Linked DNA regions of Pelodiscus sinensis. The protein of the gene in region 3 interacts with the protein of the main gene of each other region in a pairwise test. Links are inferred from orthologs where the notes say so. Each region holds a gene or a part of one and is shown on either strand. Other genes may lie near its edges. The genes, in order: RIC8A, TMUB2, UBQLN1 and SRGN.

The links.
Region 1: the proteins of UBQLN1 (region 3) and RIC8A interact in binary tests that used the Homo sapiens proteins (3 or more experiments, as listed by UniProt). The link is inferred for Pelodiscus sinensis from reciprocal best matches to the Homo sapiens genes UBQLN1 and RIC8A.
Region 2: the proteins of UBQLN1 (region 3) and TMUB2 interact in binary tests that used the Homo sapiens proteins (3 or more experiments, as listed by UniProt). The link is inferred for Pelodiscus sinensis from reciprocal best matches to the Homo sapiens genes UBQLN1 and TMUB2.
Region 4: the proteins of UBQLN1 (region 3) and SRGN interact in binary tests that used the Homo sapiens proteins (3 or more experiments, as listed by UniProt). The two-hybrid records come from large-scale screens. The link is inferred for Pelodiscus sinensis from reciprocal best matches to the Homo sapiens genes UBQLN1 and SRGN.

What each region holds. Positions count from the first base shown.
Region 1 is NC_134714.1:124,579,748-124,586,819, reverse strand, and holds the start of RIC8A (chaperone Ric-8A), read left to right. Parts: upstream 1-4,068; 5' UTR 4,069-4,410; intron 4,411-6,373; 5' UTR 6,374-6,475; coding exon 6,476-6,559; intron 6,560-7,072. Other genes in the region: BET1L (BET1-like protein), read right to left, coding at 1,401-1,419.
Region 2 is NC_134739.1:7,421,891-7,429,021, reverse strand, and holds the start of TMUB2 (transmembrane and ubiquitin-like domain-containing protein 2), read left to right. Parts: upstream 1-4,131; 5' UTR 4,132-4,289; intron 4,290-6,468; exon of another isoform or gene 6,469-6,522; intron 6,523-7,131.
Region 3 is NC_134716.1:40,477,789-40,484,825, forward strand, and holds the start of UBQLN1 (ubiquilin-1), read right to left. Parts: upstream 3,012-7,037; 5' UTR 2,744-3,011; coding exon 2,582-2,743; intron 1-2,581. UniProt on the Homo sapiens protein: Plays an important role in the regulation of different protein degradation mechanisms and pathways including ubiquitin-proteasome system (UPS), autophagy and endoplasmic reticulum-associated protein degradation (ERAD) pathway.
Region 4 is NC_134718.1:28,745,702-28,752,563, reverse strand, and holds the start of SRGN (serglycin), read right to left. Parts: upstream 3,016-6,862; 5' UTR 2,951-3,015; coding exon 2,860-2,950; intron 682-2,859; coding exon 534-681; intron 1-533. UniProt on the Homo sapiens protein: Plays a role in formation of mast cell secretory granules and mediates storage of various compounds in secretory vesicles. Required for storage of some proteases in both connective tissue and mucosal mast cells and for storage of granzyme B in T-lymphocytes.

The DNA.
Region 1 (7,072 bases), on a different chromosome or scaffold from region 3:
CCATTCCTTTGTGCCACATGCCTCATTGTCCCACTGAGTCCCACCCCCCCAAGACACATCAACCGATACTGCCAGACCACTGGCTGCCCACAGCCTCCCTGCCCACAACCCTGCTCCAACCTCACAGACAGCCCTATTCTACCCTAGCCGGTCACAGCTCCCCGCCAGCCCCCCTTACCCACAGCTCCCAGCCCCGCAACCCCCCGCCAGCCCCCCTTACCCACAGCTCCCTGCCACCCCCCTACCAACAGCTCCCCGCCAGCCCCCCTTACCCACAGCTCCCCGCCCCGCAACCCCCCCGCCAGTCCCCCTTACCAACAGCTCCCGCCCCACAGCTCCCTGCCACCCCCCTACCCACAGCTCCCCGCCCCACAACCCCCCGCCCGTCCCCCTTACCCACAGCTCCCCACCCCACAGCTCCCTGCCACCCCCCCATCCACAGCCCCTCCTGTCCCAGTCACCCCACCCCACAGCTCCCTGCCACCCCCCCTACCCACAGCCCCTCCTGTCCCAGTCACCCCGCCCCACAGCTCCCTGCCACCCCCCCTACCCACAGCCCCTCCTGTCCCAGTCACCCCGCCCCACAGCTCCCTGCCACCCCCCCTACCCACAGCCCCTCCTGTCCCAGTCACCCCGCCCCACAGCTCCCTGCCACCCCCCCTACCCACAGCCCCTCCTGTCCCAGTCACCCCGCCCCACAGCTCCCTGCCACCCCCCCTACCCACAGCTCCCCGCCCCGCAACCCCCCGCCAGCCCCCCTTACCCACAGCTCCCCGCACCACAGCTCCCTGCCACCCCCTACCAACAGCTCCCCTGCCAGCCCCCCTTACCCACAGCTCCCTGCCACCCCCCCCACCCACAGCTCCCCGCCCCACAGCTCCCTGCCACCCCCTACCAACAGCTCCCCGCCAGCCCCCCTTACCCACAGCTCCCTGCCACCCCCCCACCCACAGCTCCCCGCCCCGCAACCCCCCGCCCGTCCCCCTTACCCACAGCTCCCCGCCCCACAGCTCCCTGCCACCCCCCCTATCCCAGTCACCCCGCCCCACAGCTCCCTGCCACCCCCTACCAACAGCTCCCCGCCAGCCCCCCTTACCCACAGCTCCCTGCCACCCCCCCACCCACAGCTCCCCGCCCCGCAACCCCCCGCCCGTCCCCCTTACCCACAGCTCCCCGCCCCACAGCTCCCTGCCACCCCCCCTATCCCAGTCACCCCGCCCCACAGCTCCCCACCAGCCCCCCTGATCTCTGCCCCCCTCCCCCTGCGTCACCAAACCCGTCTCAAGCCCCTGCCTGGCCCCGCCCCGCTGTTCCTTCTCCCCGGGCCCGGCGCGAGGGCGGTGGCGGGGCCCGGGGCTCCCGTTGCAGCGGGACCGCGCGCGGCGCCCGGCCGGGCTCACCTCGGCCCCAGTCCGCCATGGCCGCGTCCTGCCTGCGCGTCCGGCCGGCGGCTCCGGGAGGAGGAGGAGGACCGGGAAGGGGGGGGGAGGGGCGCAGTGACTCCGCCTCGCGGGGCGGGGCCTCCACTGCCCCCAGCTGCTGGGGCGGAGACCGGGGGCTGGGCTCAGCCCCGCGCGCTAGAGGCGCCGGGCGAGAACGAGGCCGGGCCCTGCTGTCCGAGCAGCCGTGCGCGTGCGCCACACCCACCGCAGGGGCTGCAGCCCGCCCACACCCCGCCCGGCTGTCCCGTTTCTTTGGGCTTTGCGTTCACACGGGGCCACCCCACGGGCTCCCTTTTCAACCTGAGTGCAATGGGCTTTTGTCCGGGCTCCTAACGTCGGAGGGAAAACATGGGGAGGTTTATTAGGGTTGCTAATGAATGGCAGTGTTAACTCTCCTAATTAACTCAATGGATTAAAATCATCCTGCTTAATCACCACTTGACAGCACGCAGTGAACCTGTGGAACTCCTTGCAGAAGGATGTCGTGAAGGCCTGGACTTTAACAGGGTTAAAAAAAACCTGATACATTCATGGAGGTTAATCTATAAATTATTATCAGCGGCTGGAAATGGATGACAGGAGAGGGATACATTGATGATTCCCTGGTCTGGTCACCCCCTCCGGAGCACCTGGCATTGGCTGCTGTGGGAAGGCGGGATACTGGGCTAGTTGGACCTTAAGTCTGACCCAGTATGGCCATTCTTTTTTTCATTCTTATCTCACTGGACATGTATTAAATATTTGTGGATGTTTTCTTACCTTTTCAAATACACTGATTTCAATTACCACACAACACAGGCTGTATAGTGCTCACTTTATATTATTTTATTATAAATATTTGCATTGTAAAAATAGCCCAGCACATGTCGTTTGTTTTAAGAACATTTTCACTACAGATTTGACAAAACAGGAAGAAGGCACCAATGTGAGATTTCTAAAGAGAGCTACAACACTCCAAGGTTTAAGAGTCTGAAGTGCTTTCCAAAATCTGAGTGGACTAAAGTGTGGTGCATGCTTTCAGAAGTCTTAAAAGTGCAACATACCAATGCAGAAATGGCAGAATCCAACCACCACCAAAAAAAATCAACCTTCTGCTATTGACATCTGATTCAGATGAAGAAAATGAATATGCATCAGTCTACACTGTTTCGTATCATTATCAAGCAGATCCTGTGAACAAGAAATGGGCAGCAGTTCTCTTGCAAATGTAAACAAACTTGTTGAGTGATTGGCTGGACAAGAAATAGGACTGAGTGAACTTGTAGACTCTTATGCCTGGTAGTTACTATTAACATAACTGGAGCACCAAGAATGGACAACTAGCAAGATGGGATGGAAAAGAAAAACAGCAATTGAACATTGACATTTAGCACATACCTTGTTATCTTCATGTTTGCTATTTTATACTTAATAGCTTAAATATTACACAATATTAAATGAAATATTTTTTAAAAAGCTAATAGGATAAAATCATAGTCAAAGAATAGGTTTGCCCAGCCCCACTTGATTGTTTTGCTTTAGGGATTTCTTTCATCTGACTTTCTCCGGACAATGGGAGAGGAAAAGATTTTACATTGTTTTATTTCTGAACACAGTTATTTTTATACATAATTCTACCTTGAGTTCAACTTTCATGATAGAGATTGCATTTCAGCACTTGTATGAGGTGAATTAAAAAATACTATTTTTAACAGCACAAATATTTGTAATCACACTTAAAGCCAGCCCTGTACTCTGATGTGTTGAAAGTGAAATCAATATATTTGTAGAAAAACATCAACATATTTAAATAAATAACATTAAATTATTTAACAGTGTGATTAATCACGATTAAACATTTAATCACTTGAGAGCCCTAATGTTTGCATTACAAATAAGGTTTCAATTAAACGGAAAGCATTTCTGTAGCTTATTTTAATAAAGTTAACATCCTGGCCTAAACTTCCTGTGTCTGTTTCACACAACAACATATTATTTATTTAGCCCTTGAGCCTGCAATTTGATCCATGTGAGCAGCCACCTGGGCCTGCTGAGAAGCATGCAAAGATCCAGTAATGGGGAATAAATGGCGGGATCTAGGCGTTAGCTTCATCAGTAGGACCACTCAGGGAGGAAGGTAGTGTGCCTGGTAGCTAGTATTAACACAACTGGAGCACCAAGAATGAACAGCTAGCCAGAAGGGATGGAACCGAAAAACAGCGATTGGGCAGTGACATTTAGCACATTCCTTCTTATTTCTATGTTTGCTATTTTATACTTAACAGCTTAAATATTACACAAAATTCAATGAAATATTTTAAAAAAACAATAGGAGAAAAACATAGTCAAAGAACAGGTTTGCCCAGCCCCGCTTAATTATTTTGCTCTAAGAATTTCTTTCATCTGACTCCCACCAGACAATGGAGAGGAGACGATTTTTCTTTGTCATTAATCCTGCCAGAGAAGGGTGGATGATCAGCACCTAAAATATTTCCATATTGCATCCGTTGTTGAAAATTCTTATGGCTGATCGCAGGAAGCTATCTCTGCCCCTCCCCCGATTTCCAAACCTCCAGTAATACAGCGTTTCTTTTGTCTGTACTACTGTATCGTCTTCTCTCTCCGACCTGTTGCAATCCCCACCCCCATTCTGAATCGGTTGTCGGATGTCAGCACGGTCCTAACTTCCGTATGAGTTACATAGACTCTTTCCCTCCACCCTTGGACAGTGGGGAGGCGGGAAGAGAGATTAAGACCTTCCCCAGTTGGTGCCCCATCCCTGAACCCTGGGAACAGCATCCCGACAGGGTAAATGCTATCACATTCCACCCTGAGCCGGCCGGCCAGCGTTCGAGCTTGCAAAATCCAGCTTTTTTTAAACAAAGCAGCTGCCTGCACAAATCGCTTACATTGGAGAGATGGGGGAGAGACAAGCTGCAGTGTTCAGGAAATAAAGCAAGAAACCTAAGCAAGGAAAACTAAAGTAAAGGTAATGTGCTTATTATATTTTCTATGTAACATCTATTAGCTCCTACTATTTGTTTACACTCCTTTTCTTTACTCTGGAAGGTAGAGCTGTTTTAACCAGTTTAGCAACGTTTTATCGTTTAAAATAAAGCTAATCTGATAATTATTGCCATGGTATAATCTATTTGTTAGTCTCTTAGGGGCCACAGAACTGCTGTTGTTTTTTTAAATTACAGACTAACAGGGCTACCCCTCTGAAAACTGTTATAATAGTTATTGTTAATTGTTTCAGGACATTTTGCTTCTGTGACCATCCCTCAGTATTGAAGAGGTACGGTCTCTACTTTTAGCAAATTAGTTATCATTTGTCCCATCCTGTCCTTCCAAATTGATGAGGATTTCTGTAAAGACTGATTTACTATGAAAGATGAAAAGACAGAAATGTGTATGACTACAGGCCCTGAACCTGCAAAGGCATTACCCCCATGCAGAATTTTTAGGAGTCCAGTTGATTTGAAAGGACTGCTCACAGAACTAAAGTTAAGTTCAGGTGTAATTGGTGCAGAATTGGAACTAGAGGGAGCAGCACAAAGACCAGCATCTATACATTTTTGGTGGATGTGGGCATCAAAAAGAGACTGGTATTGGGTGGGGAGAACTTCTCATGAGTTAAACAGAAAAATGCAAGATGAAAAACAGGAACAAAATCCAAATAGCGAGGTTTGAGAGAAGTGTTCTAGTCCCATGGGAAGTGCTAGAAGCTTGGAGTTGGAAGGAAAGTACATTGTCGTGAACAATCCTGTATTGGCCCAAAGGGGGTGGATTAGAGATGAGCTGCCTTTTTCAGCTTTAATGTCTACATTTCCATGGGATCTCTTTTGAGGAGTTTGGGGTTTTATTGTGGTTTTGAGAGCTGTGTTCCTCTCTGTCTTCCTCAGCCGTCCTAGTAGCTTGCAAACTTCAGGGGGAGCATCATGCTGGGCAGCCAGTAGGCACCCTTAAACTTTATTGTGACAGTGCCATAGAATTGGTGCCCACCACGCAATGAGTTTCAGGTGGAGCTTCTGAATTGGGGTGGGGAGAGAGGTGTATGGGACTTGTCTCAAGACCTTGGCTTTATTGGGGGATTTACACCCTCAATATTTAGTGCAGAATTGAAATCTAGCTATAGAAAATATTACCCTACACAGCCTTATGGAATCATATTCAATAGTGTAGTATATTAACAATCTCTCTCAGCGCTGTCCGTCAACAAAGTGCTTTACAACCAGCCAAATGCCTAGCCCCAAAGAATCTATGAGTATTATTGGCATATAAATGCACATCTAATTATTTACTATAATTGTAAAACACATTCGTGTCAGGAATGATAGAAGCCCGCTGCCCCTATGTTGGACAACAGTGGCCTTTTATCCATCAAGCCAGGCATTTTTATAATGCATTTGGCATATTCATCTTCCCCAGTTACAGACCTACACAGATGCCTCAGAGTGCTAGATTCTTTCGTAAACAAACAAAACAAAATTAAAGTGCTTTCAGTTGACGGACTTCTTCGTGCCACCTTAAAGGACAGCTCCACCTTAACCCAGCCTGCATGGGGCTTGTCTGTCTGTCTTGCTCTCTTGTGCATCTCTTTTATTCCACAAAGAAATTTCTGGGTTTTTGCTGTGCAGGAACAGAAATCAGGACAGTGGGTGGAAGGGGAGGGCTGCAGGGAGCTGCAGTTATCTGTTCTGTGTTAATCTTCCCACTGAGGAAGGGAGGGGGGTTTCCTAAGTGCGTTGGTGGGAGGGTGTTTATTAAACATTGGAAAGTAAAGAGAGGGAGAGAGAGGATTAAAGGGAGAGAAGAAGAGAAGGAGTTAGCGCCTGGTTTTATTGGGGTCATCCATCTGCTCTGCCCTTTGGCTGTAATAGAGTGAGCCATTTCACTTGCTTTTCTCTCTCTGCTCCTCCCCTCTTCCTTCCTGTGGTCTGTGTGTCAAGGTCCCTGTGCATCCGTAATTATCCGGGTAATTATCCAGCAACGCTGCAAGCCTGCCCACTCCACCCCATAGCGTTCCAGTCCCTGTCCAACCTGCCGGGGCAATGGAACTCAAGAATGTGGTAGAGACTGTGGAAAATGGAGAACAAGATGCTATCCTCAAGGTGCTGCAGATCTACAACCAGGAGGTGAGTGTTGGGTTTGTGCTAGGCCTGTGCCAGTGCTCAGCTTCCATGTTTACGTGTCTGGCAGCAGGTTGGCTGGGGAAGCCATGCTGTGGGATTTCTTGCCAGCCAGCTGTCCCTGTCTGTCTCCTCTACCTACATCTGCCTGTGTGTCACTTCAATAAAAGTGCCATTAACCTGCTTAGCAGCTACATTTTGTATTTGTAGCATCAGTGATTCCTGCATGTATGTTTTGACAGTGACTGATCCTGAGCATTTAGTAAACATCTCCCCATCCTGCTTCCCTTGTGTATTGGAAGTGAAGCACTCAGCTCAGATTTTTAGCATCAAGGGTACAAGGGAAACATGTCAGAGAAATGAATGAAGACGCAGGGACTAAAGAGATAGCAAGGAAGAGACCTTTATGGTAAAGGAAGATTAGGAGGTAACATCTGAGGCCTAGGGAGCAAGCTATGGATGTAGTAGAATTATTATGGTTCACAACTACAAATAATGAAGGGAGCATGTTAACGGTAG
Region 2 (7,131 bases), on a different chromosome or scaffold from region 3:
GTTCCTCTTGGTTTCTGAGGACAGGACAAGGAGTAATGGGCTTAAAGTGCAGCAGGGGAGGTTTAGATTGGACATTAGGAAAAAATTCCTAACTGTCAGGGTGGTCAAATATTGGAATAAATTGCCAAGGGAGGTGGTGGAATCTCCCTCTCTGGAGATATTTAAGAACAGGTTAGATAGACATCTGTCAGGGATGGTGTAGACGGAGCTTGGTCCTGCCTTGAGGGCGGGGGGCTGGACTCGATGACCTCTCGAGGTCCCTTCCAGTCCTATGATTCGCCCTGATCTTCTGGCACACTGGGCAGGGATCCTGCAGCAGAAGGAAAAACAAGTGCCTGCAATTGAAGGGGAGATCTTTGGGGAGGACAAGTCCCTTTGGGCAAGGAGTGCTGCCTGGCTGCTTCCTGCAGTGGAGACAGGCGGAGCTGCTGGCATGTTGAAGGTGCTGCTCGGGGCATGGTAGAGCCCAGCAGTTGTATTTTTATCTGATATTGCTGAGCCATTTCCTTGGTGACAAGGCCCTTCCTCGTGCCCTGGAAGCCAGGGCAGTGCTGTTCCCCTTTGTTCTCCCTCTGTAGAACAGGGATAATGCCTTAACCCATCTCCTATAGAACATTAGAACTGGAAGGGACCTTGAGAGGTCAAGTCCAGTCCCCTGCCCTCACAACAGGACCCAGCACCATCCAAACCATCCCTGATAGGTGTCTGTCCAGCCTGCTCATAAATGTCTCCAGTGATGGAGCTTCCACAACCTCCCTATGCAATTTGTCAGGGTAGTTAAACACTGGAATAAAGTTTTTCTTAAACCTCCCTTGCTGCAGTTTAAGCCCATTGCTTCTTGTCCTATCATCAGAGGCCCAAGGGAACAATTTTTCTCCCTCTTCTTTGCTGACGGAAGTGAGAGGTGGGGCTTGAATCCAACCTCCTGCTCCAAGCCAGACTCTGGCACTGACATTCCCCTCCCTCCCCCCCGCAGTTGGAATACGACAGACCATTCCCCAGGTCACACCCTGCCGGACATGGCGGAATCAGGATCCGGGGCTCAGGTTGTAGAGGTGATACACATGAGGATAGCAGCTGCAGGGACTCTGAAGACATCACTCGCTAGTGCAAAATGGTAGGGTTCAGGGTGGGAGAAGGCAGGGCCATCCCTACCGATGCTGGTGCCTTTGCAGCTGAGGGAAAGGGGTTGCCAACACTCCCGGTCCATGCCAGGAGAGTTGACAACCTGGAGCAAGCAGGGAAGGCGGTGTGGGCTAGAGGAGCAGCAGGTGGTCACACAGCCGGCCAGAGAGACGTGGCCCCTTTACGGTGAAAGTCCTGCTTCTCTTCAGCCACCTGCTGTGCAGCTGCTCCCTGCCCAGTCCTCTGGCCCATGAGGGGCACTCATCTCCGGTAAGTGGGGGCTGGGCACAGAGCCCTTTGGGTGCAGCTAGCAGAAGGGGCAGAGGGCGGGCTGTCACGGGATGGGGCGGCCAGAGCCTTAAGACAACATGCGGTTGCATAGGGCACAATAGAATTTGGATCAATATGGTGCCTCAAATGTCACGGTTCTTTGCACAGCTGTGTGTTTTGCCTCTTGGTAGGGGAGGGTTAGGGTATGTGGGTCTTTTTTTTTTCCTCTTTCCCCCTTGAAGCATTAAGCAGGGGCCACTGCCCCAGACAAGATCATGTAGCATCACAAACTTTAGCCTGAGCTGGGCTGGCAGCTTGCACAGGGCGGCAGCCACACCAAATTCTAAGGGTCTGGGTCCCTTGAAAACATTGTAATGCAGGAAGCTTCTGTACAACAATGTGCCCCCGCCCTGGACGGGATGCGATCAGACGTGCTGAACCGTGTGCCTCAGCCCTCAGCTGCACTTTGGTAATAATTGTACTTAGCCCCCTGCAGGATGTGGTTTCTTCTTAATTCCTTCTCCTGCTAGGTTACATCCTGTTGGTGTTTGCTATTAAACAAAAGCCATACTCTACCCAAGAGATGGCTACTTCTCCTTCCAGGGCGGTCTGTCAGAGATGGGGTCTGAATCTGGGTCCCCTAGCCCCTATCTCCAGTTCTACTATTCCCCTGCGGGATGGCCTTGAGCAAGTTACCTCCCTGTTCCATGCCTCAGTTTCCCTGCATGTGAAAGTCTGGGGAGTGGGGCAGGAAGAGTTAAACCCCTCTAACCAAGCGAGGCCAGGTTCCTGGAGCCAGGCACAGCTCCTAGTCCCACCCCGACCCTGACCTTGTAGCCAGGCATGGATTCCAGGCACCTGTCTTTACAGCAAAGCTGTCTCATTGACTGAGCCTAATACTACCAGCCACTATATTCCTCACACAGTCCTGCCATTGCACTCTTCCTCTGCTGTGTCCTCAGAAAAAATAGCATATCTTTGTTAATGCTGCCTCCCTTTCAGCACTGTCCTTATGACTTCTGGTGCCTGGGGTGTGGGGCAGCAGCTGTTTCTTGTAACTGGACACGTGTTTCATAATCGTGCTTGTGGTCTAGTCACTAAACACTCGTTGAGTCACATCAGGTAATGGCTGACTGCTAAATAGTGACAAGTGTTTAAGGTGCTTAAATACACAAATGCTAGAACTCTAAATAACATGGGTGAACTCGAGTGCCTTGTATTGAATGAGGCTCTTAATAGAATGAGGCATCACAGGAACTTGGCAAAAGGAGGATAATTAATGGGACACAGTAATACCAGGGTACAAAATATTTCAGGAGGTTCTAACAGGGTGTGCTGGTGGGCGAGTGGCACTAGATGTGAAAGAAAGGCTAGAATCAACTCGAGATCTTGGAGTCTATGTGGAAAGTTCTTTGAAAACATACTATGTGCAATAGTTAAAAAAAAAAAAAAAAAAAAAAAAAAAAAAGCAAACCATGTTGGGACTCATTAAGAAATGGATACATAATGAGACAGAAAATATCATATTGCCTCTATAAATCTGTGGCATGTCTGTATCTTGAATGCTGGGGGCAGATGTGATCACTTCCTCTCAAAAGAGAAATATTAGAATTGAAAAAGATTGAGAAAGGGCAACAAAAATGATCAGGGTATGGAACAGCTGCTATAGGAGGAGAAATTAATAAGACTTGGATTTTTCAGCTTAATAAAGTGACAACTAAGAGGGGATATGGTAGAGGCTTCTAAAATCATGACTGGTTCCATGTTCCATATGGTTTCATCCAAAACATTTCATTTCCTAGCTTAACCATGGTACGGAAAGTTCTTCTAAATGTAATTTGCACTACTGTGGGCAGTTTGTTCTCACCCCCTCTCCTACTAATTATCACTTACTAGCACATTAAAAAATACCAAATAGTCCCTAACGTGCTGCAAGCCTAACAAAAAATGTAGATGGTATCATGAGTATTCGTGGGTACAACCCACTCACATGATTCCCCACCTACAACACGTGCTTTATTTCCGGCCACAGCCATGTCCAATGGGACCTCATAAATTACCCGTTTGCACCATACATTTGGGTGGCTGTCCATCTGCTTTTACTTTCCCTAGAATGTTAGTGTCCAACCTGTTCTGTAGCACTGCACTCCAGCAGCACCACTCCACCCCAGTACGTTTCCCAAGGCTTTTCCTGGAGTGATTAACATCTCTAGCTGCTGGCTCAGCAGTAGAGTCCTGTGTGGGCCTATTTTTTAATACCTACTCCACATGGTTCTTTAATGTCGAGCTGGCTCCTGCTATGACCCATGCGAGTCCCGCAGGACCCAGGGGCTCCCAGTCCCACAGCGGGGCATTACGCAGCATTTGGACCATTGCAACCTTGTGGGTTCACCCCTTCCCCTTGGCCCCACCCTGCAGCCAGAGTCTCCTAGGTCTTGTCTTTTCTGAGCTGCCCCCCAGCTTCTGCCCCACTTCCTGGGGACACTGCTGGGCTGAGCTAGCCCCTGCCAAGTTACCCCCTTGCCTCCCTTATAGGGACCACAGAAGTGGAAGCCACACCCCTTTGTTACAAGCCCCGCCCACTCGTCCTGGCGCCGCCCCCTGCCCAACTCTCTTGAAGGGACCTGTTATGGAGGCGGGCTTGGATCAATCCGACCAATCGCCTGCCTCCTGGCCCCGCCCCTTTCCCTCGCGGCTCATTTTAACTACGTCACCAGCGTACGCCGACGCGCTCCTCCCCCACCATCCGGCCCGCTGGGCGGGTCCCTCTGACGTTCGCAGCGCGCGCGGAACGTAGTTGAGCTCGGTGGGCGCGCGTCTGACGTAGGCGGCGTGTGCTTGTGACGCGGCGTATGGGGCCTTCGGTAGGGAGGAGGCGTCTGCGGGAGTGCCGGGTAAGTGGTAGTGACCCCCCCCCCCCCGGCTTAACCCCCCCGCCTCGGCCCGGCCCCTCCCCGCCCACGAAGGGTGAATCCCCCGCTCGACCGCTGTCCTGGGCTCCCAAGCGCCCCGGCGCGGCCCTTCCCCCCACGGGGTTTGCTCCCCCCCAGCTCCCCCCCCGCTACTCGGCTCCCCCCCCCGGTTCTGCCCCCCCTCAGCTCCCCCCCCCGCTACTCGGCTCCCACCCCCCCCGGTTCTGCCCCCCCTCAGCTCTCCCCCCCCCGCTACTCGGCTCCCACCCCCCCGGTTCTGCCCCCCCTCAGCTCTCCCCCCCCCGCTACTCGGCTCCCACCCCCCCGGTTCTGCCCCCCCTCAGCTCTCCCCCCCCCGCTACTCGGCTCCCACCCCCCCGGTTCTGCCCCCCCCTCAGCTCTCCCCCCCCCGCTACTCGGCTCCCACCCCCCCGGTTCTGCCCCCCCTCAGCTCTCCCCCCCCCGCTACTCGGCTCCCACCCCCCCGGTTCTGCCCCCCCCTCAGCTCTCCCCCCCCCGCTACTCGGCTCCCAGCCCCCCGGTTCTGCCCCCCCCTCAGCTCTCCCCCCCCCGCTACTCGGCTCCCACCCCCCCGGTTCTGCCCCCCCCTCAGCTCTCCCCCCCCGCTACTCGGCTCCCACCCCCCCGGTTCTGCCCCCCCTCAGCTCTCCCCCCCCCCGCTACTTGGCTCCCACCCCCCCCCGGTTCTGCCCCCCCTCAGCTCTCCCCCCCGCTACTCGGCTCCCCCCCCCCCGGTTCTGCCCCCCCTCAGCTCTCCCCCCCCGCTACTCGGCTCCCACCCCCCCGGTTCTGCCCCCCCTCAGCTCTCTCCCCCCGCTACTCGGCTCCCACCCCCCCGGTTCTGCCCCCCCCTCAGCTCTCTCCCCCCGCTACTCGGCTCCCACCCCCCCGGTTCTGCCCCCCCCTCAGCTCTCCCCCCCCGCTACTCGGCTCCCACCCCCCCGGTTCTGCCCCCCCTCAGCTCTCTCCCCCCGCTACTCGGCTCCCACCCCCCCGGTTCTGCCCCCCCTCAGCTCTCCCCCCCCCGCTACTTGGCTCCCACCCCCCCCCGGTTCTGCCCCCGCTCAGCTCTCTCCCCCCCCCGGTTCTGCCCCCCCTCAGCTCTCCCCCCCGCTACTCGGCTCCCCCCCCCCCCGGTTCTGCACCCAACTCTCCCCCCCCCCGCTACTCGGCTCCCACCCCCCCGGTTCTGCCCCCCCTCAGCTCTCTCCCCCCGCTACTCGGCTCCCACCCCCCCGGTTCTGCCCCCCCTCAGCTCTCTCCCCCCGCTACTCGGCTCCCACCCCCCCGGTTCTGCCCCCCCTCAGCTCTCTCCCCCCGCTACTCGGCTCCCACCCCCCCGGTTCTGCCCCCCCTCAGCTCTCCCCCCCCCGCTACTTGGCTCCCACCCCCCCCCCCGGTTCTGCCCCCCCTCAGCTCTCCCCCCCCCCCCCCGGTTCTGCCCCCCCTCAGCTCTCCCCCCCGCTACTCGGCTCCCCCCCCCCCGGTTCTGCACCCAACTCTCCCCCCCCCCCGCTACTCGGCTCCCACCCCCCTCAGTTGTCCCCCCCCCCCCCAGCTCTGCCCCTCCCCCACTACTTGGCTCCCACTCCCCCAGCTACTCCCCCCCCCCAGCTCTGCCCCTCCCCCGCTACTCGGCTGCCACCCCCCCCAGCTCTGCCCCTCTCCTGCTACTTGGCTGCCACCCCCTCCCAGCTATTTCCCCACCCCCAGCTCTGCCCTTCCCCCGCTACTCAGCTGCCACTGCCTCCACGGCTCTTCCCCCCCCTTCCTTCCCCCCAGCGTGGCGCTGCCCCTTAACAGGGGTTTAACCCCCCCAATGTCTATTCCTCTGTAGGGTTTTAACCCCCCCCCCCTTTCCTCCCTTGAGGACTGCTGTGGAGGCCATGTTATTGCTTGGGAACGTGCCCCCCCCCCCCCATTAGTGCCATCTCCCCACTCTGTGGTGTTAACACGCAGTCCATGGGAGGCTAATCCCCCCCCTCCCCCCATGTGCCCTCCCCACCCAGGCCTGAAAGGCTTTGGTGCTTCCCTGAAGCAGAGGAGCCTTACTGCAAGGTGTCAGTCCCCTGATCATGGAAATGGGCAGGGAAAGTCCAGGGTCAAGGAGGGCTAGGAAACGAATTTCTTCCTTAAACAGGCAGGATTCCTGCATGGCTGATTGATAGAGGGCAACCCTGTGTCCCTGGCTGTGGTAGGTGTTTTCTCCCCCTACATTAGTCATAGATTTTTGTGGCAAAGGTCTCTGGGATTCAGTACTCTCTAAAAAAAACCGGAAACACCATTTGAAAACAGATATCACATTCTATTTGATGCACCCTAGCCAGGCACCTACTGGTGTTTTCTTAGATTAGACTGACAAGGGTGCTGTGTGTGTGAATCGCACTAGTGCTTCTCTAGGGTTGCCAGATGGTTTCAACAAAAATACCGGAAATACTTGACATTACATCACAATCTACATTACATCTTATTTAGAAAATAACTGGACATTTATATTTTCTCATTTCTCATTTTCCCAAACAGAAAGCTCAAATACTGGACTGTCTGGTTCAAAACCGGACACCTGGCAACCCTATGTTTCTCACAAGTTCTGTGTAACCTGCAGCAGCCCACCTGTGAGGCAGTGAATATTCCCATTTTACAGTTGAGGAAAGTGAGTGAGAGACTGGGAGGGAAAGTGATTTATCATGGTCACATAATGATTCAACAATAGAGCCAGGACTACTACAACCCAGGGGTCCTGACCCCAAGTCCCCTGCATTAATTACTAGATCACACAGGCTTCTATGGTAAATTGTACTGA
Region 3 (7,037 bases):
TTAACCAGTTAAACAATATGTTTACCTATTTAACCAATTAAACAGGATTTTACGTCCCTAATTACTACAGAGCCTAAGCAGGACTTGGAAAACCCATCTGCAAGTAGAAAGCTTTTCATGGCAAGTGACAATTCTAAAATAGTTCCTATACATAATAAAATTATTCTGAAAAAATTTTAAATGCAAAGTGTTTATAGTGTTGTCATTTTTAAACAACAAACAGCTCTGGGTTAACAGGCTCAAAACCACATAGAAGAGACCTATTACCTATTAATTTAAGTGAAAGACTGGTCCATATGACTGAAAAGGCTTTGCATCTCTTAGCTGGATTGTCAAAAGTTGCAAAATTTTAGAAAAGAAGTGAAATAAAAGTAATCAGTTTCATTACTGCTATTCAGAACTCTCAGGTGAATGGGGAAATGGAAAAAGTGTCAGTTTCACACAGCTGTTGCTTGCAAAAGCAAGCCAGAAGTATCAGAGAGGCACTGGAATTTTGCCTAGGTAAGCACAAGTCCAAAAATGAAGCTTGAAGGCAGAGTAACAGAGCCTACCCAAGTGCAGCAGTCAGGAGATTCTGGAAAAGCTTAAGGGTATGTTTTCACTGGAAATACTACAAGCTATGATCCTGCAGCATAGACAAATAGTATGGCAGTGGAACGTGTTCTTCCATTGTTCTAATAAATCCACCTTTGACAGGAAGTAGCTAGGCTGACAATTATTCTTCTGGCAATTTAGCAGTTTCTACACCATGGCTTAAGTCAACTTAATTACATTGCATGGGGAGTGATAGAATTCATAACTCGGAAGCTTACACCACTCCTAATGGACAAAGCGCGCCCCCTTTCAGCCATCAGGAGGTAGGCCTTCCTGAAACTTCTGGCCCAGCAATCAAAAATTGATCTTAATTAAAAAAAAAAAAATCAGATTTCTGAGTTGGATCCAAAGAGGAATACCAGGATAGAAATTTCAGCATCTTCCCCCTTCCTAGTAGCAGCAAGGGGCTGTGCTTCTAACCAGGGTGTTGATCCTAGCTCTTGCTGCTGGAGCTCCTATTTTGTCCTTTATATCTGCCCAGAAGTTATAGCCTTTATCAAATAGGCTACCACACCATTCCACACACTGGTCATGTTCCAAAAAATCTACTTACAAAGCCTTACAAAAGAAGGGTGCAGCTTTGGCTGAAGTCATTATGGTGTTTAAATTTAAACGGCATCTAATGCATCTCTAGGGATGCTAAATAATTACACACACAAAAAGGAATATAAAATGAGTTCCCATGGATAACATTTATTTTTGTAGCTCTGTTAATGTGGCAGTTTGTCTCCTTCATGAGCAAGGAAACTATTTTGCTAGTTGCTTTACAGTTTCACTGGTAATGTCTTACAGCCTGCAACCACAAAACTCCAAGCATCACTTAAGTATAATCATAGAAGTGTAGCCGTGTTAGTCTGGGGTAGCTGAAGCAAAATGCAGGACAATGGAGCACTTTAAAGACTAACAAGATGGTTTATTAGATGATGAGCTTTCGTGGGCCAGACCCACTTCCTCAGATCAAATAGTGGAAGAAAATAGTCACAACCATATATACCAAAGTATTCTTTGGTATATATGGTTGTGATTATTTTCTTCCACTATTTGATCTGAGGAAGTGGGTCTGGCCCACGAAAGCTCATCATCTAATAAACCATCTTGTTAGTCTTTAAAGTGCTCCATTGTCCTGCATTTTGCTTAAGTATAATCAGGCCTAGTCAATATTTGGATGGAAGGCCTCCAAAAAAAGAATATCACAGGAAATTGTTTGATTCAATAGATAGCATTCTTTCCTATGAACGCAAGTTGCAAAGGAACAAGTTGGCTGTCATAAAAACTTACAGAAAAAAAGATTCTAACAGCTCATGACTACACCACACCAGAGAAACTATTGTGTAATAGCACTAACACGTTTCCACATTTAACTAGCGATTTTTTTTTCAATCTAATTTAAACCGCAATACTCTTTTAGGGTAAAAGCATCACATGCACACTTCCTAACTGAAACACGTCCTGTACCACTTTCTTTAGCCATGAGGACTATCAGGTGAAGGCTGCTATTATCTTCTTTCATCACCAACCTCCGCCTGACTGGTAACCCGTTCAATTAGCAGTTCGCGGCCCCGTCTCCCGCAGTTAGCGCCACTCGGCTAACTGGGCTTAGGCTCAGCTTACAGTAGCAAAGATCGGTAAAGACGCTCCTCTCTGCTCTCCGAGAACTCGCTGCCCGTGGGCGAGCCGGCGCCGGCTAGTCGCGGGGCTAACTGTACTATAGCGGGAAATAAGCAGGGCCAGGGCAAGGAGCGGCAGCGCAGTGCTACTCAGCGAGGCGCTGCTTCGTCACCCGGCAGGGCCCTGGCTTGGCTTGGCGGGGAGGGCCCCGCTCTGCGGCTGGCCTCGGCACCGGGACAGCGCCGCCAACCTCCGCGCTCGCAGGAGCGCGCGGCTGCCGTTCTCCGGGGCTCGGAAACTGAGTAGGGGGCAGGAAGCTCCACGGCCGCGCCTGCCCCGTTTCCCCACCGGCGCGGCCTCCCGGGCCCGCCCCCCTCACCTGCCGCACGTTGCTGGTCTCGGACACCGCGAACTCCTCCTTCTCTTTGGGGGTTTTCACGGTGACTTTGATGATTCGAGGCTCCGAGTCGGCGGCTCCTCCCGGGGCGGGGGAATCCGGGGGGCTGGGGGCCCCGGGGGGGCTCTCTCCGCTCTCAGCCATGGCAGGGGGAGAGGGGCCGCTGGCTCTGGGTCTCGCTCGCTCTCGCCGCGCGGGGCACGCTGCGCAAACCCGGCTCCTCAGCGCCGCTGCCTCGCGCGCCGACACCGGAAAACACCCGCGACGCTCTCCCTCCCGGAGAGTTAAACGGAAACAACCCAGATCGGGCGCTGCGCGCACTGATGACGTCTCGAATGAGGGAAGTTACTAGAAAGGGATGTTGTCTCGCCAGGCATAGGACACAGGGCTAAGCCTCGCGCGCATGTGCAACAGGTGATTGAACAAGCGCGCACGCGCAATATCGATTGGCCGATAGTGCGCGAGAGTAATGGTTAGCCGCCGTGCGACTCCTTTCGGTTCTCACGTGTAACTAGCGCGCCTGCTCATGTCATCTGACGGGACTCGAATTATGCGTTCGCTTTGCCTAGTGCGCAGGTGCGGCCTCGTGCGCTTGAGCGGCTGAGCGAGACGTCAGTGGTTCCTGACGCTTTTGGCTCGAGGCCTTGATGCCCCGCCTCCCTCTCTCCTAGTGCGTCGCTGTCGGCGGGGGGTGGAGAGGGTCCAAAGTATCCCCAGGCCACGTCCATTGCAGCACGTGCAGTGCGGGCCGCTCGGCCGCAGTTAATTCACTACTGGTGTTTCTGAAGCAACCAGGCGCCTAGGTGTCCCTTTGCAACTTGCGTGGTGCAGAGTCGGGGGCCATAGGGTAGCCGCGCTCCAGGCCATATAGGTTGAGTGCCAGCTTTAGCACCCCACCCCCGGAAATCTGAGGCCCAGTTGTGCAGAGCTGCTTCATCATGGTGTCATGCATTGCAGCTGATACTCACACATACCATAACTTCGACGCAGTTGTGAGAAAGCCAGGAATTAATTGTTTAGGGGCTAGAACTATTACTTGTCTCCCTCCCAGCTTCTAAGGACACAGATCACCACTTTTCCCTGTGCACCCCCCCTTTTTTTCAAAGAGAGGGGCAGAGGCTCTGGCTAACCTCAGAGATAGGTTGTGAGTACCTAAGCACCCAGCAATCACAAATTAAGAACTAGTGTTCTAGTGTATTGTCCCTTTCCCAGATTCATTAAACCATCAATTGGCCACTGCTGTCCATGGACAACACACGAGGTTAAAAACTATTGGGCCAGTGATACCAAGCACTTGCAAAAGGTCCACGCAGAGCTGCTAAGGATAGAGCACATCATCAAGATAGCACACTCATTGTAATATCTATTTTGTCATATTGCTTTTCAGAATGCCTGCCCAGTTAGATGGCTGGCTGTGCTGCATATAACCACTAGACTCCACTCTGCTCCCAGGCCCAGAATAATCAAATATCAGTACAATCCCTTTGTAATGTTGGTTACATCCCCGTACTAATTGTCTCTCCTCCACTCTGCCGCTGCCTGCCCCCTTTCTTCTTCTGCTGCCCCCCACCTCCCCTCCCCTCCCCTCCACACAAGCCCCTTCCCTCTCCTCACCCCTCTTCTTAGTTCTCCCCCTGCCTCTTCTCAAAAGGAGACAAAGGAAAAAGGCAGGAGGGGGAGGGAAGGTGTCAGTGGGGGGTGGAAAAGGGGAGGGAATATAGAGGCAAGAGGAAGGAAGAGGAGAGGTTGGGAGTGAAGTGGGTGCTGGGAGAAGCAGCATTGAAAGGAGGGGTGGACATGAGGAAGGCAGGGGATGGAGCAAGTTGTAGGTGAGGGCACAGGGGGCATGAGGAGAACTGGGGCAGAGAGTGGTGAGGGGGTGAGCAGAGAGGGAAGGAGGAGGCACCAGGAAGGTGCAGGTACCAGGAGATTATGGGGGTAAAGCAGAAGGGCAGACATGTTGAGGGGAGGGATGGGCCCCAGAGAAGAGACGCAGGGTAGTGGGTAGAGGGAGGTGTTAGGAGAAAGGATGGGGAGAGGTACCTGCAGATAATCAGAGTGGGCAAAAGGGGAAGAGAAGGGCTGGTGCAGGGCAGGGGAGAGGGGGGCAGGTCCCCACAGGGCTGAGGGGAGTGAAAAGGGCAGGAGCAGGACAGCAGAGGAGAGTGAGGGGTGGGGGAACAGATAGGGGAAGGGACGGAGACAATGGCAGCAGAGGGGAAAAGGGAGAGGTTTATGATGTTTATTAGTAACTTGGGTGCCACAGTGGCACACATCCCAACAAGCAGACATGACCTCAATACAGGTGCACAAGACAAAACTCACTCTGCTTATGGGAGGAAAATCTTAGAGGGAACACTTCCCCCAGCCTCTCCGCCCCTCTCCCCAAGTTAATGCAATGCAAGTCGGGTTAATGTAACTGCAGGATAGTTTCATGGGGAGTGTCCTGTGTGGGCCAAACCTATCCCTATTGGTAGGACGACAGTAGGAAGAGTTCTTAGAAGGGTCACCCTTTACTTATGCTCATGTGTCCATCTTGACCTAAGGAGTACTACCTTCAGTGGTGGGACTTCTTGTGATGGGGGCGTGGCTAACAGGTCATAGGGGCATGGTTAATGGAAGTCAGGGGCATGGCTAATGTGTCCCTAATTTTGGTTCAGAAAATATGGTCACCATACCGCTATTGCTGCTGTGGTGTTGTCAGCAAAACTGGTGCAGGCCTATGTGTCATAGCAAAATTAGGTGTTTCTTCACTGTGGGGTATGGAGTGGCAGTAGTCTTGCTCTACTGCAAAGGGTGGGTGGGGAGCTGAGACTAAGGCTGGCAGTGAGGATTCTTTCATCTCACTAGGCCTGCTTCAGAGCTCACCTACTTTGTGCAATCAACACCTAATCTGAAATCTTTACTCAAGATTTCTCTCCTATTATAAACATTCACCATTTAAAAAGGACTACAGAACTATAATGGAAGCATCCACAGCAATACCACCACTGTTGGGCTATGTCTGGACTGGCATGATTTTCTGGAAATGCTTTTAATGGAAAAGTTTTCCATTAAAAGCATTTTTGGAAAAGCACGTCTAGATTGGCACGGACGCTTTTCTGCAAAAGCACTTTTTGCGGAAAAGCATCCGTGCCAATCTAGATGCGCTTTTCCGCAAAAAAGCCCCGATCGCCATTTTCGCGATCGGGATTTTTTTGCGGAAAACAAATCTGAGCTGCAAAAGTTTTGTGCAAAAGGACTTTTGCCCAAACAGGAGCAGCATAGTCTTTCCACAAGAACACTGACAATCTTACATGAGATCGTCAGTGCTTTTGCGGACATTCAAGCGGCCAGTGTAGACAGCTGGCAAGTTTTTCCGGAAAAGTGGCTGATTTTCCGGAAAAACTGGCCAGTCTAGTCACAGCCTTAAGGTATAGGAGGAAATGTGTGCTACATACCTATAGCATTTCCTCTGTTACCAGTCTCTGAAAAGAAAGCAAGCAGCTCTATTTAAGCAGACTGTGGTAGGAAACATACAAAAGGCTGTGAACTGTGCAGTCTGGAAATACAATGATCAGACTGAAAGAGATATGAATGTCCACTTGAGAGCAACAGCTAGGGAGCTGAGGGTGGGGTAGAAATACAGGTATTTGCCCTGAACTGTAACAGTTCCAGCAGCACAGAGCACTGGAAATTATCTTGGAACAGCATTTTATACAGAAATCAAACATCAGATTGGAAGGCAGAATTTCTTTTGCAGTCCACAGGTTAGTTAAATTTGGTCCAACTTTGAGCAGGGGATTGGACTAGATGACCACCTGATGTCTTTTTCAATTCTAATCTCCTATGATTCTATGAAACAAGTAGTGGTAACTAAGGAAATCATAGGTTTTACATGTAGGTTTTACATGTTTCAATCCCAGCTACAACATTTGTGAAATTAGGGTATCACAAAATAATGTAGTCTCACAAATATCAATTACATAATTTCATGCTTTTTGGAACATCTTTTATAATTTTTTAGTTTGAATGAGGCAGATTATTAATTCTTTGATTCAATTAGATCATTTAATAAAATGGGAACAAGTAATGTATTGCAATCAGTTATGCAAAATGACTTACTAATGCACTACAGTGGGTCCTCGTCATAGAATTACTCAGGTGCGGGGGAAAGTTCATCACAATATGATTTCTTGATGTACCTACTCTTTCAGTTCAGATGATAAAGAGTTTGAAGCTCAATAACTTTTGTCTCTCTCGGGACAATAAAACACTTTAAGACATTAAATTGCATTGGTGTGAATCTCACATCCTTTAGCCAGCAGCACATGAAAAACTAGAAAGCAAAACTCATCACAAACATAGGAACATAGCATAAGAACAACTATACTGAATCAGACCAAAGGTCCATCTAACCCAGTGTCCTGCCAATGCCACATGCTCCAGAGGGAGTGAA
Region 4 (6,862 bases), on a different chromosome or scaffold from region 3:
ATTAGTTTACTGTAATTTTCAAAATCAGGCCATGTTTGTACTATTACTTTTAAAAATTCAGACTCTTTCAACATGCAAAAGAAAATCAAATGCATAACGATAGATAGATAGATAGATAGATAGATAGATAGATAGATAGATAGATAGATAGATAGATAGATAGATAGATAGATATTTAAAACCATAACAGGGTTCAAAAAAGAACTATATATGTTCACGGAGGATAGACCCATCAATGGCTATTAACCAGGCAGGTCAGAGATGAAATCCTATTCTCTGAGTGTCTCTAGCCTCTGTTTGCCAGAAGCTGGAAATGAACAGTGGGGGATAGATCACTTGGTTTCCAGTTCTTTTAAGCATCTGGCACTGGCCACTCTTGGAAGATAGATATTGGGCTAGATGGACCATTGGTCTGATCTACAATGGCAGTTTTTATGTATATTAGAAGTCAAAGATGTAAGCACTTTAGTTAGGAATACTGAAAGCTTATTGATGTCAACCACAAATATTGAGGGGTTAATTCATTTACTTACAGAAATGGATCAGCCTTGGGAGGGAGAATTCTGTTAGCTCCACCTTCAGAAATTTCAAACAACGGTCCTTTTTCTTCAATGCAGTTAGCAGACAAGATGTCTGGTCTGCATCTTACCCTCTGGAATCTTGCTTTCTGCACTGGAACACCTGATCAAATTATTTGTACACTATTAGTATGAATGAATGCAGTCAATATTATGGACTATGTTAATTTATGAACATCTGATTAGGAAACTGGCAGTTATAACTGTATGCATGTATTTAGTAATTGCCCAACCATAAACAATTCTGGCAAGATATTTTTTAATTAATCAGTAATATTCCTGTATTCCATATTACATCCATATGCGCACAGCTTCCAAACACTACAGAAATTCCATGTGAAACAGCTATATAAAGTTCGATGTCTCTCATGCCAAAAAGAGTAGATTTCCAAATTATACGGACAGGGATGAAAAAGACACACAGAGGCTGGAAAGGCACATAGCAATGTGCAAAGTATGGTTCTAATCTTATGAAGTGCCGAGCACACTATAGCTCCCAGGTGCCAGAGCTGGCGTGGAGACTGAGAGCCTTTCTGTGGATTTCCCTACCCTTCCGCAGATGCCCCAGAATGTCAAAGGTAACCAACCTCCCCAACAGAATTAAGAACCCTAACAGAGATTTCCTCCCTACCCTCCTGTGGGATCTCTACATTAATAATAAGGCTCTGTAGCATAGAGTGCAGTGTGTATTTACTGACTTGGAAAGTAGCTGCTGCAGATATTCACTAAACACTTTTCAGATGCTCTTTCACTTCCTCCCGTCCCCTCAGTGTCTAACCTACATTCACATCTAATTTTGAAAAAGCTTTTTTTTTTAAATTTAAGTTGCAAAATAAAAAATAAACCAACAAACAACTGTTTGAAACCAAAATTTTCATTCTTCTTTTGCTGTCATTAACTAATCGCATCTGAATCCTCATGTTATATTCTCCTTCTCTGGGTATTTCCATCTAATTTCGTTTTATTCTTTGAAAATGTCTCTTCTTGGTAACTACAGTCCCTTGTAACATTGTCTATTACCATGTTGTACTGAATCACTCTTCCAAGGTACAATGTAACTCTCCAAGCACATTCTTTCCTCCAGTGGGTTAAAACCTGTTCCGACACTGATACACACATTTCTTCTACAGGAGACAGAAAGTGCTTGGAGAGTTACTTATAACAATTATTTCACATCTCTCTCAGAGTCTTTTCTTTTAATTGTTATTCTATTTGTATATTATTAAAAATAAAGTCTGTGTATAATAAATGTAGAAAGTACCATGCCTTTTGTGTGCATAAAAGTCAGGTAATAATCAACCAAAGAAAATAATATTTAGGATGGAAACACCAGTAGGTATCTAATTAATGCAGATAACTGTGATAATATCTCTACAGGAAATACACGTATATAGCTTGAAAACTAGATGTCTCTAATAAGTCCAGGATGTCTGTGTCATTGTGAACCAACGTTTCCTTTTAGCTGTTATAGTGCATGGTGTTGTAATTCTTGCTGTATTGAATAAAACCCTTAACTTCCCCATACTTACACAAATGTCCTATTTCCCCATGAAAAAAATGAATCTATAATATGAGAAATATGCATCTTCTCAAATATTTTCTTAACTGTTAAGATCTTACATTCAACAATCTGTTATAATCCCAAAACAAACACATTAATGTCAATACATTGAAAGGGTATAAATGAGAGCAAAATTGGGCACCATAGCTGCTTTTACAAAGTAACTTTCTGTAATTTTACATATTATCTATAGGTGATTTATCAGCCTTATTGTTGATTGAAACAACTCCAATAAAGGTCTACTTGAAGTCCTTACTTCCTGAAATGTAGATCCATTTTAGATTGCTGTATTTCAGACTCAGTTGAATGAAAAAATCTGTAAATTACTCAGATAATAGCACGATGTTGATGTATTTCACCCACTACAAAAACAGTTGGCTAAGAAATTCATATAGATAGAACTTCGATAACTTTTTATAGCCATCAATTACATCATTTTTATAAAATAAATTCTAATACTAACTACACATAACATCTACATAAGAAGGACAGAAAAGATCCACTTGCCAAAGGCAGTTTTATCACAATTTGCATGATACAAAAAGTTATGCTGATGGAAAATTTAACAAAAAAAAATCATTTTATAAAAAGTAGGTTTTATTATTTCTACTTTAAGGTCAATTGTCAGAATTCTTCTTTAAAATCAACAGTACCTTACTTGGCCTATACTACATAGTTTAGAAAGAGGATTATAGAAATAACAACCATTCACTGTTTTACCTTGTGCTGAGTATCCCATAAAGAGGATTATACAAACAGCCAGGAAAATCCTCCCATTACGTCTCACAAGAGTCTGCATTTTGGCTTGCATTCCTCCACACTCTGCCACTCTTCACTACAGCTTCACACTTAGGAAATAAAACGAGGGGCAATGAGATAGACTTTTAGAAAAGGTTTCCAAAACCTCAAACCCAGCCCATATCCTGCGTCACAACTTCCTGATTGAACTGAAGCATCTACAATAAAAAACTAGAGTCTTGTTATGTGGTTCTTACTCAGACAAAAATCACCACTGACTTCAAGAGACGTTTTTCCTGAGTTACTGAGGTCCCAGTAAGCACCATAATAAAAAAGTTACTTCAGCGATTAGAAATGAGAGGCCAGAAATATGTGACACAATCCAGCCTGCCTATAGACTTTCCCCAAAGCATATAGTATCTGCAGACATGTCAGCCGCCAGAGGTCTACTGTAAATTTGTCACTCCTAATTAAAAACCAGGTAGCAATCTGTTGATATCCCAAACTTTCAGGCAAGTAGGCAACTGTAGTGCTGCATTGGCAACAGAAGTAAATTTCCCCTTTCTAAAGCAAGCCATAAGCATATTATTTGTAGCATAATCAGTGTGAAACTTGAAGCTTACAGAGCTTGTGAAACTCTCACGTTGCAAAAATTCTTAAATTCAGGATTTGTATTCCAACTGTTTTTTTATTTCTTGAAGGGTGAAAACCTGGACCTACTTAATAGGAATGAGGAGAATTTTTTCTGAATATTTAGGAGAAATTCCACTTGATTCCCCAGGGGTCCAGCTAGGTTTTAGAACAATATGTCACAATTCCAAAATAACTGCACCTTTGACCCATGCATGACTTCTTTGAGGGCATCTTGTTTAGTTCTCATATCTCTAGCTTTCACCTTTCTGGAAATGGATCCCACAATGCCCTTTCTCCAGACTGGGGATTTATACTGCAGATTCCTGTAATTCATTGTGATTCTCTTAGGCCATCTCACTATAGGTCAGCACCTAGGGTGTGTCTAAACTACATGACTCCGTCGATGGAGCCATGTAGATTAGGCTGATCGGCAGAGGGAAATGAAGCCGCAATTTAAATAATCGCAGCTTCATTTACATTTAAATGGCTGCCGCACTGAGCCGACAAACAGCTGATCAGCTGTTTGTCGGCTCAGCGCGCTAGTCTGGACGCTCCCGCACCGACCTGAAAGCCCTTTATCGACCTCCCCGTTATGCCTCGTACGATGAGGTTTACCGGGGAGGTCGATAAAGGGCTTTCATGTCGACAGAGGAGCGTCCAGATTAGCGTGCTGAGCCGACAAACAACTGATCAGCTGTTTGTCGGCTCAGCGCGGCAGCCATTTAAATTTAAATGAAGCCACGATTATTTAAATCGAGGCTTCATTTCCCTTTTCCGAACAAAGAAATCTACATGGCTCTGTCGATGGAGCCATGTAGTCTAGACGTACCCTTGCAGTCCTGTTCTCTCAGTAGCAATAACAGAGTTAACCAATGCCCATCAAGCTTTCATAAGGCAAAGTGCTTTTGTTCTGATTAAATAGCATTACAGAGAAAATATATAATAAAAATAAACAGTTTATTTGCAGATCAAATTTACCAGGCAGTCAGCTATCTTCCATATGGTGACTCAGATAAAATTAAAGTGCTTCAGGCACTTTCAACATGGCCTGAACTGTTTCATGACAATTGCCAGATAAGAACAACCTCCTTATACAGTTTACAGTTCTTTGTTTGCCAGGCCTTTTCAACCAGGACAAATTGATATATGTGCTATCTCCTCTGGGTATGAAACTTCCACATACTTGTTACTTGCATTAAAATTTACATTATTTCCTGCCCCCTTGCCCAGTGATTTTAATTGGTGAATTTCATTTGGAACCATTTGTCTCACCCATTGACCTAGAAATACAATCACTAGCATAAAGATACATATAACATACAAAGGTAATGAAATAGTCTGTGAATATTCTCAGGTATCCATAGCATTTGTCACATCTCAATGTAAAAGTCTTTGAATATTCTGTGTTTCCAATGTATTGCAGCTATCACACAGAAATATGAGTATTAACAAAAATCACATTTACTCAAGATACAAGTTTTGCAGGTTGGGCCTATCCTTTTAACCTTCTCTGGTAATGTTGAGGCTAACTTCAAAGATTAACATATTTTACATTACATTCTGGATTCCTTACAAATGGGACCATTTTAATAATGTTTCCTTTCACAAATACTTTGATTCACAAGTGACATAACTAAGGCTGGCATAAACAATGACGTGCTTGACACATTCTTTCATCACAGTAATGCCAATATACAGGAGAATGCACACGGGAAGATAAGAAGGGGCCTGGGTCCTACCACTAACTAGCAGGGACACAGAACTCCTCCAGCCCCAGTTCTGCAGCCCTGGGACCTTGTCAGGATACAGAACCTGCCAGTATAGTTATAGTGGAAAAAGCTATACTGAAAAAACTTCCCATGTGGGTAAGGCCTTTGTTCTTTCCAAAGGGAGGAGTCTCTTTCACGTATCTGAAGGAGATTTTAGGGCATACTTACACTACAACATTTACTGAAGTGCAGCTGCCCCAGTGCAGCTGTGCTGCTGTCCGCTCTCTGGTGCAGCCACTCTAAGCTGAAAGGAGAGAGCTCTCCCATTGATTTAACGTCTTAAGCTCCTGCAGGCACCAGCACTTATGTTGGTGTAACTGAAATCACTCAGGTAGGTGATCTATTTATCCCCCAAGTGACTTAGGTTATGTCAACATAAGCTGTAGTATAGACATAGCCTTAGTCTTCCTGTGGTATTTCCTACTGAAGACATGCCTCAGAATCCTGCTACAAAAACAATTCACTGGAGCTAGAGACTTGACAGTACTTTTTCAAAAAGAGGGCAAACCCTGAAAGGATTTCAGTATAGCTTAGCTCTCAGCCTATTGTACTCCAGCACTACCATCAATGCTGCTGAAGAACACAGAAACAGGGTGCATCTCAGGGTGCCAAATAAGATCACATTTTGTGGACTCAAAACTGACTGCCCCAGTGTCCATCCTTATTTTATCAATTGCTTTATATTTCTCATTAAAGTTACATTCCTAATATCTTTGAATTGGAAAAGTAAAATAAATCTATCTACACACACACGGTAAGGCTTTCCATTATAGAAGCCAGCAAAGTGGACCTCTGACCCATTAGATGAGTGGAGTTCTTTTCAGAGGACAACTTGTACCTTTTTTCAGTGCCACATTTCAGACCAGAGTGTTTATAAGTTGCTGCTTGCTTTCATAAGGGAACAACAGTGAAAGCACAAGAGAGTTCAATGGAAGAGGAGGGCAGATATTTCATTAATAATCACAATTTCATTTTTGTATGAAATTCAGTGTGATCTTCACCTGAATGCCACAAGCCTATTTCTTAAGTCCTACAGTAACAATAAACAACCTGCATGCCCTTGCAATTTCTGGAAGACAACAGATTGTAGAGGCTTCCTTACTCTTCTGAAATTTTGCATAGATTTAAGAAGTCAGAAGCCAGAAATGAGAAAAGCAATGAGTAAAAGGAGATATCTGAGTGATAACTAGCAAACAACTTAGAAGGAAAAATCTTAAAGAAAAACTTGAAGGACTCAGATTTAACATTAAGAGTCAACAAAAACCTGAAAGGGGCAGTAAAGAAAAACTCACATCTATAACAGATCCTGTTTGCAGGAGTGGAATCTAAATTCACAAACTGAGGAGTCTTGTTAGAGGCCTGTTGAAATTTTCCCTATCCATACTCTCCAAATATCTAATAAGTGTTTTTTTCTGGATAAATACACACTGTACCCTCTTAGACTTGATCCCTGATAATAGGTGTTAAAAGAGTTCATTGTACTTTAAAATATATTATTAATTTTCTGCATAAATAAATTATAGGTTTCCTAGAACATGGGAATCACTAAAAGGTGTTGATCAACACAATATGGACTATGAAAG